Linked DNA regions of Ovis aries. The protein of the gene in region 2 purifies or fractionates together with the protein of the main gene of each other region. This does not show direct contact. Links are inferred from orthologs where the notes say so. Each region holds a gene or a part of one and is shown on either strand. Other genes may lie near its edges.

The links.
Region 1: the proteins of EZH1 (region 2) and AEBP2 purify together in Homo sapiens (affinity purification with mass spectrometry; 3 studies listed by BioGRID and IntAct, with this or other methods). This does not show direct contact. The link is inferred for Ovis aries from reciprocal best matches to the Homo sapiens genes EZH1 and AEBP2.

The regions. Positions count from the first base shown.
Region 1 is NC_056056.1:196,107,775-196,111,913, forward strand, and holds the start of AEBP2 (zinc finger protein AEBP2), read right to left. Parts: upstream 2,801-4,139; 5' UTR 2,512-2,800; coding exon 1,859-2,511; exon of another isoform or gene 1,519-1,858; coding exon of another isoform or gene 1,496-1,518; intron 1-1,495. UniProt on the Homo sapiens protein: Acts as an accessory subunit for the core Polycomb repressive complex 2 (PRC2), which mediates histone H3K27 (H3K27me3) trimethylation on chromatin leading to transcriptional repression of the affected target gene.
Region 2 is NC_056064.1:42,498,522-42,502,021, forward strand, and holds part of EZH1 (histone-lysine N-methyltransferase EZH1), read right to left. Parts: intron 3,097-3,500; coding exon 2,916-3,096; intron 2,663-2,915; coding exon 2,466-2,662; intron 570-2,465; coding exon 478-569; intron 1-477.

The sequences.
Region 1 (4,139 bases), on a different chromosome or scaffold from region 2:
GACCAACTACTCACAGTCTCCTAAAATGACATAGTAGATAGACATTAAATTTAAAAAACGAAAAAAACAAAAACCTGGCACATACTGCTTGTAGCTTATTTAAAGAGAATAATTCTAACTCTGGTGAAGTCGAACTAGCAGGGGACTTGAGAACCTTTGTTCAGATCCAGCTCCACCACTTCCATTCCATAGTTACTGTTTTGAGTAAGACACTTAACTTGCTTCTTCTCTGTTTTTAAGTCTTGCACCAGAGTTGTGAAAATGACATGATTGGCACATTTAAATCCTTCAGTGCTACTAGGCAAGTACGTGTGTATGCTAGGTAAATGGAACAACTGTGGAAGACGCCGAATTGTATGAACTAATGTCAACTTTTAAATATCTACTGGTACCAACGAAGGCGTATACAGTAAAACGACAAATAACATGCTTCGTTAGGCAGTTCACACCAATCTTTTAATTTTCTTAAAGACATTCTCCTTCCTATCCTGCATACATAGTTCAGGACAATTTTTTCAAGGTTTGCAGTCTATTTTACCCCATTCAAGGTTATTTCCTTAGATATTAAAATAAATGTCAAATAGAATTTGATGCTGTATTTTCAAAATATTTAGGGCTGTGAATTCCTCATAATACTAAATATAAGCCAAGGTGTTCCTTTTTTATCAGTTAACAATAGAATTCCTAGAACTTTAGAATACTTAAAACTTTCAAATCCAATATCGATGGTTAAAATTCTACTGCTCATCCAAACATTAGCAGACGGTCAAAATAATTGCTAACATACTTTAGATGCAGTACAATACGCATGACGTGGTTCTGTTCTAGCAAAATAAAATACATTAACAACCAATTAGTTAAAATATGAAATCTTCTGGAGATGAAAAATAATGACAATAACATCTGAAACATACCGTAACAATGAGTATCTTAAAGCCCCCAGAAAATGAAGCGCATTTTTGTCAGTCTCCACACTTTCTAAAAAGCTTTAGAAAACTACTACTAATCTCTTCAGAAATCTCGCCAAAACATGACTTTAAATACTATCACCTAAAATCACGGCTCTTGTTGAACCATTAGTGTACACAGATTTTAAAACGCATACTAACATGTTGTACCCTAAGACTGCATTTTGTTACCACTGCAACTCTCTTCGGCTCGGTAAAGTTACCTTAAACGACACCAACTCATTATTCTCTTACACAACGATGTATACAGTTTGAGAACTTTCTCCCCAGTTTGACCACCAACCAAATAAAGAGAGATTATTAAAATCATTTTGGAGACCAGGTTAAGGAAGATACGAGGAATTCTGGAAGCGCTAGTCAAATAGAAAAGAATAGTCTTTTTTTTAAGTAAAAGAAAAGTGATGGTTGGGGTCCCCCTCCCTGAACAAGGAAGTTCTCTTACATCCAGGCGAGACCAGCCATGTTGGAAAACACTTGTCAGTTACAGTTGTGACAAGTCTTCGCCAACATCGCCCGGGGAAGCTAACCTTGTGTACCGAGGTGTGTACATCAAGGCCCTCTTCGGCTCCGCCGGAGGTTCTGGGCCTACTTTGGGGATGGTTTCCGAGTTGGAGCCGTCCTTCGGTCCGAACGGAGCGCAGAGCCGAGGGGGAAAGAGGGCGGGGAAAGGAGAGTTGGGGGGAAAAGGGTTTTGAAGAGTTGGAAGCCGCTATCCGCAGCGAGAGGGGCGCGGCGGCAGGGAGAGGTTTCCGAGTTGAGAGCCGGGGGGGAGGGGGGAGGGGCCGAGGATTCGGGGAACAGGGGGGACTCTCAGCAGAAAAGTCCCCCTCGGAGGGGCCCAGGAGCGCCAGAGGAGGAAGGGAGGCGGAGGAACGCTTCGGAGCACTGACCTGTCCTCCGAGTCCATGCGGCTCAGGGGTTCCCCATCCGACGACATCTCCAAGCTGCCTCGCCGGCCCCCAGAGGTCGCGCTGCTTCCGCCTCCCCCGGTCCCGTAGCCCTCGTCGCCGCCGCTGGAGACGACGCTGCTGCTGCTGCTGCCGCCCCCGCCGCCGCCCTGGCTGCCCCGCGGTCCCTTGGGCTCCTCCAGGCCCTCCTTGCCGTCCCCATCCCCGCTGCTGCTGCTGGCGGCGCCGGGGCTCAGCGAGCGCGTCTCGTCGCTGCTGCTCCCGCCGCTGCTGCTGCCCACCAGGCTCTCGGCGCTGCTCTCCTCCTCGCCCCCGCCGCTGCTGCTCTCGTCCTCCTCCTCCTCCTCGTCGTCCTCCTCCTCGTCGTCGTCCTCCCCGGCCTGGCTGGCGCTCTCGGGGCTCGGCTCCGACATCGTCTCCGCCTCGCCGCCCCCCACTCCGCCGCCGCCCCCACCGCCGTTCAGCAGCAGCGCCGCCACCGCCTCGGCCTCCGCCTCCTCCTCCTCTTCTTCCTCCTCCTCCTCCTCGGGGGGCTCAGCCCGGCCCCGCGCCGCCGGCCCGGGGCTGCCGGGGGGCAGAGGGCTCAGGCGGGAGAGCTCCTCCAGGTCGGCCATGTCGGTGAGAGCGGCGGCCATGGCGGCGCCTGCTCCTCCTCCTCCTCCGGCTCCTCCGCCTCCCCGCCGCCGCCGCCGCCTCCCTCTCTCGACTCTCGCTCCCTCGTCCCCCTCCCAAACGCTCCAAACTCGGCCGACGCCGCGGCAGAGGGGGAGGAGGGCCCGCGAGCTGCGTCAGCCTGCACACGCGCTACGGAACCCGCGCGGGGACAGGCGCGCCACTGCGCGCACTCACGCGGAGACGGCTGCGCGCCTGCGCGGCGGCACGCGGTGGCGCCTCCCCTCGGCCGCCGGCTCCGCGCCCGCGCCCCCGGCCGCGCCCCCTCTGGGCCCCCGCCCCGGCCCGCCGGGACTCAGAGTTTCCGCGGGGCCTGCCCACGCCTTCCCCGGCCGCGCGGCGGGCGGAACACGCGGAACGAAAAGCTGGGCGCCGGGCGGGGATTCTAACAGCCCCCGCCCCGAGGGCTCACGATCGAGTCATTCATTCCGGGAGTGTTTGGGGAGCGTCCCCGGCGCGCGGGCGCTGAGCCAAGAATCGAACAAGTCCCTGGGCTCCTGAGAGCTGACAGTCTAAGAGGAGAGGCGAGGAAAATGAGTAAAAATGAATAATACAGTGCTAGGTACTGAATCCATACGCGCGACGCAGAGCCACAGGTTTTTATCTAACCTACGTTCGAATACCCCGAGGACTGGTTAAATCTCAGTCTGAGAGCAAACATCTGTGGGCAAGAGCTTCAAACTTTTTAGCTCCTGAGCCCTCTGAGACGATTTTGTACATCTTCGTACATCCACATGTTTAAAGTGACAACCACATTTTTTCCCAGCCTCATAATTTACGACTGTCACACTTTTGTAAATGTAGTCAACCAATGAATCCTAAATGCCATACGGATTTAATACCCACCAATATCTTTTAAAATACAGTCTCGTTTATACTTGGGCAATTTCCATCCTTTATCCTCTGGAGCTCATTTACATTTTACATCTCGCAGAATTTTATCCTAATATTTTATATTTGAACTGTTTTATTGTTCATCTTATATATTTCCTGTATACATCTTATATACACAAAAAAATGTGTATCGAAATTGAAATTCAAGGGTTGTTTCTAAATCTCCTGAGATCATAACACTCAACACTTGTTTCAACTGATCAAAACAAATATATTTCAAATATTTACAAATAGATACTAAACCCTCAAATTGGAATTTTGTTGACAATGCATCTTACAGAAATGAAATTGAATACTTTTTTAAAAGCTGTATTATTGATCAGTGGACGAGTATTTCTAGAATGAAAATGAGATGATTCCATTCAGTTACAAACTTTTAATTCCTTGAATGTAAGCACTGAAAAAACTTGTTCACATTAATAAGTACATGAGAATGAATGGAGTTTTGTCAGAGCAATGCAATTCGATTCTTTGAACTCTTTCTAAATTATATGTCCCCAAAAAAATCACATAAAGATCTAACAAGAAAAAAATACTTTTAATGATCTATCCGTTGACAACTCTGACTAGGTTCTCTTTCAACTTTGTCGAAAGCAAGTAATTGAACACCACCTGACTTGTAAAAAGATGTGTTACTCATTCTCATTCACCACTCGATTGTTCCTTTTTCTGGTGTCCGGGAGGATTTTGCATACCC
Region 2 (3,500 bases):
TATATCTGGAACCAGTGTCAGTTTTTTACGGAACAAAGCCAGATGGAGTATTGGCTGCAAAAAAAACACCTTCCAACCCTAAGCAAAGGTTAGCTAGAAGACAGTGTTATTATGCAACTTAGAGATACAAGTGCCAAAAACAGAACAACAAAACTCTGGTCAGAGTTGAGAAGTGAGCACAGTGGTAATAACAACCCAGCGAGAAGAAACGGCCTCAGGATGGAGCCACGAGGCCAGTTCACATCCTGCTGGCCGGGAGCTTAAAAATCAGTTATTTCATGGTCCACAGCACTGCGGGACAAGGGAAGGGCTGATTCAAGACACAGACTCGCAGGGAGCACTGAGGAGACTGGCCCTCCACTGGGTGATGCTGAACTGATGGGCAGTGGCTGCAAAGGGAGGCAGCAGCGAAGCCCTAGGGGAGGTCAGGGAACAGGGAACGGTCTGGCCACAGAAAGCCTTTGGTCCAAGCCTTGCCTGTGCTTTCTCTTCTTCTTCTGTGAGGGGTTCATAAGCTCATCTGTGGGCAGCTTCAGGATAAGTGACTCTTTGACTGCAAACTGGAAGACCTGGAAGAGAAATCCAACAGGACCTGTTACCTCTTGAGCTGAGGGGTCAGATAAGTGACGTAGCCAGGTGCTGGTTTCTGGAGAGCTTGTGGGCAGATGTCTGAGCGTCTTTAGCAGGCACAGACAGAGAAGCACCGGGACACCAGGTTGCTGTTTCTGAAGCTCTTTGTTTCTGGTTGTGTTTTTGGTCTTGATTTGTTTTTGGGTATGCCATGTGATGTGCAGGACCTTAGTTCCCTGTTCCCTGACGAGGGATTGAACCCATACCCCCGGCATTGGGAACAAGGAGTCTTAACCACTGCATCACCAGGGAAGTCCCTGAAGTTAATTCTTAAGTGTTTATCCTGACTGAGCACAGGTACGGTTTTTCTGGTCAGTCGCGTTCATCTACTGCTCTGCCTTCCAATCCAGAGGGAGTCAATTCTTACCAACAGTATCTGCTTCTTATCAGGAAGGGCAGTGTTGTATACCTTGTGTAACTGAGTGATGTGACCTGAAGTACCACCCGGCTAAGCGCTAGCTCCCTCTGCTGGCATAAAGATGTTAGAGCCTTGACTATTATTTTAGCAGGACAGCATTTCACGAAGGCCTGGTCCCTTTTAACATGCTGTTTCCCTTTGAACATTTGTTTCTTAGCTTTTTCTTTTCGGTTACAGGCCCTCTCGCAATTCCATGAAAACTGTGAATCTTATATTCAGGAAAATAACACACAAAAATTGCTTTGTACACAGTTTGCAGGCTTTTAGATCAAAAACCTGTGCCTTGGGGAGATAGGTATGAAATTAAAAAAAAAAAAGGAATAGGGGACACGCCTTTTTCAAGGCATGAGCCTGCTGTGTCTCCTTTTGCCTGGCAAAGCAATAAAGCTATTCATTTCTACTTCCTCCAAAACGGCCTCTCGTGCCTTCTGAGATGGCTCACACTCCATCTATGGTGTTTTCCCCTTGAGTAAACCTTCTTTCACTTAAAAAGAAAAGAAAGCAAAGGGCACTTCAGCTCATGGTTCTACTACTTGTTCTAAATAGAGAGTACATGCAGAAAAGATTGCAGACTCTTCTGGAAAGTGAGGAGCTAAGCGAGGAGGGCTCAAGCTCTGGTGTTCCTGTTTGGACCAGTTGGCCCCAATACCTGACTCCCTATCCCTGTGCTTCAGTTTGTCTGCTCCCTGTAGGCTTCTCCAGCCTCCAAAACATCAGAAGCTGCTATCAGATGGTGATTCTAGTGATGATGTAAGTGAGATGCACAAGGTCCAGACCCAGCCATTAGGGGTGGTAATTAGGAAATCTAATGATAGAACATTTGAAGAATAAACAACTGAGAAGACTGACTTGGGGGGTGGTGGCAGCTGCAGCTACAGAAGCAGGAGCAGGGGTGTGAGAAAAGAAGATCCCCAGAAGGACCCAGGAGTGCCTTCCAGGAAATGGGTCCACATTTAGAAAGAAACGGAGAAGGAAACAGCCACCCACTCCAGTATTCTTGCCTGGAGAATCCTGTGGACAGAGGAGCCTGGTGGGCTGCTGTCCATTGGGTTGCACAGAGTTGGACACAACTGAAGCGACTTAGCATGTATGCATGCATTAGAAAGAAAGGCAAGAACACCACTGCCACCACCAAAAAAAAAAAAGAAAAAACCTAAGAGAGGGTAGAAACATCCAGAAGAGTTAGATAGTGGCTAGAGACAGAAGTAAGGATTCAGCAAGGAGAGCAGATCCTAAGTATTGCTAGGCCTGGTATTTGCAGAAAGCCCCCCAAGTTTGGGGAATCCACCTCCTGGTCCAGAAGCACAGGCTCACGAAAGACTGAACCTAAGACAGCTTCTGTCCAGACAGGCAGCCTTACAAAGTGACCAAAGGGCTCCCGGGGCAAGGACTTGTTCCCGTCCCCTTCAGGCAGTACCTGCTTACACGTCTTAGTCCCCAGAAGTCTGGCTATTGAACAGAAGTTGTTGAAGTAGGTGCCATGAAAGACTCGAAAAAGAGATTCTTCAGCCCCAGTCCACTCCACAGGCTCTGAGGGTGCTTCCACTACACAGAGCTGAGGTGGGGCTGGACTCGCCTTCTGTTTCGTGGGCGTCTGACAGCGAGAGTTCGCCTCTAAGAGAGAAAGGAATGAGAGAAACACAGAAGGTGGAATGCAGCTGGCCTCAGTGGTTTGCTACAAACTCAGCACTTCATTCTACACCAAAAGGTAGAAGAATTAGGAACGAAAATATTCCCTGTCTCTACTGCTTACAGGTGAACCTGTGGAAAGAATGAACAATTTAAAAAGGTAGTAATGTTAACTGTTACGGCATGATCCCGGGTTTACCTTGTGTAGCAAGAAGAGGTCATTTTCTGCTCACTGTACCTGAAGAACTGGAGGCCCAGTCATTGCCAGTGTCCCTGTCACTGTCCCCTTCTTTGGTCTCAGCCACAGCAGAGGCTGAAGTGTTGGAGCAGGAAGCATTGACCACGTGGTGCCTTCGCCGGCGACGCCCGGAGCACTTGGAGCGAGGGTTGTGCAGCATGGCGTACTCCTTTGCTCCTTCCTGCAGAGGTCATGTTACAGTTAGGAAGCAGAAACAGGCCACCATATCGGTCCCATCATCACAAACCATCTGCAATATCTGTGCTGACTTGCAACTTGACACTTTTTTTTTTCCTCTGTACCATATATGACCATGTGATAGCTTCTTAACAAACATCTTAAAGCTTACACACTTATCTCTTGACAAAGAGCTGCCCTATAATACAATCTTTACAAAGATATAATCTTTATATATTATGCACAGATGTTTCTATGCATCTTTGACTGTCCAGTGAGTCGTATCTTATACTCATTTGCTCACAAGCTGACTGGAATTTGAGAATACATTCTCCTGTAGATGAGAAAATGAGGGATGTGCTGAGAGCATGCAGCTAATTATTCCAGAACAGGTACAAGAATCAGGGC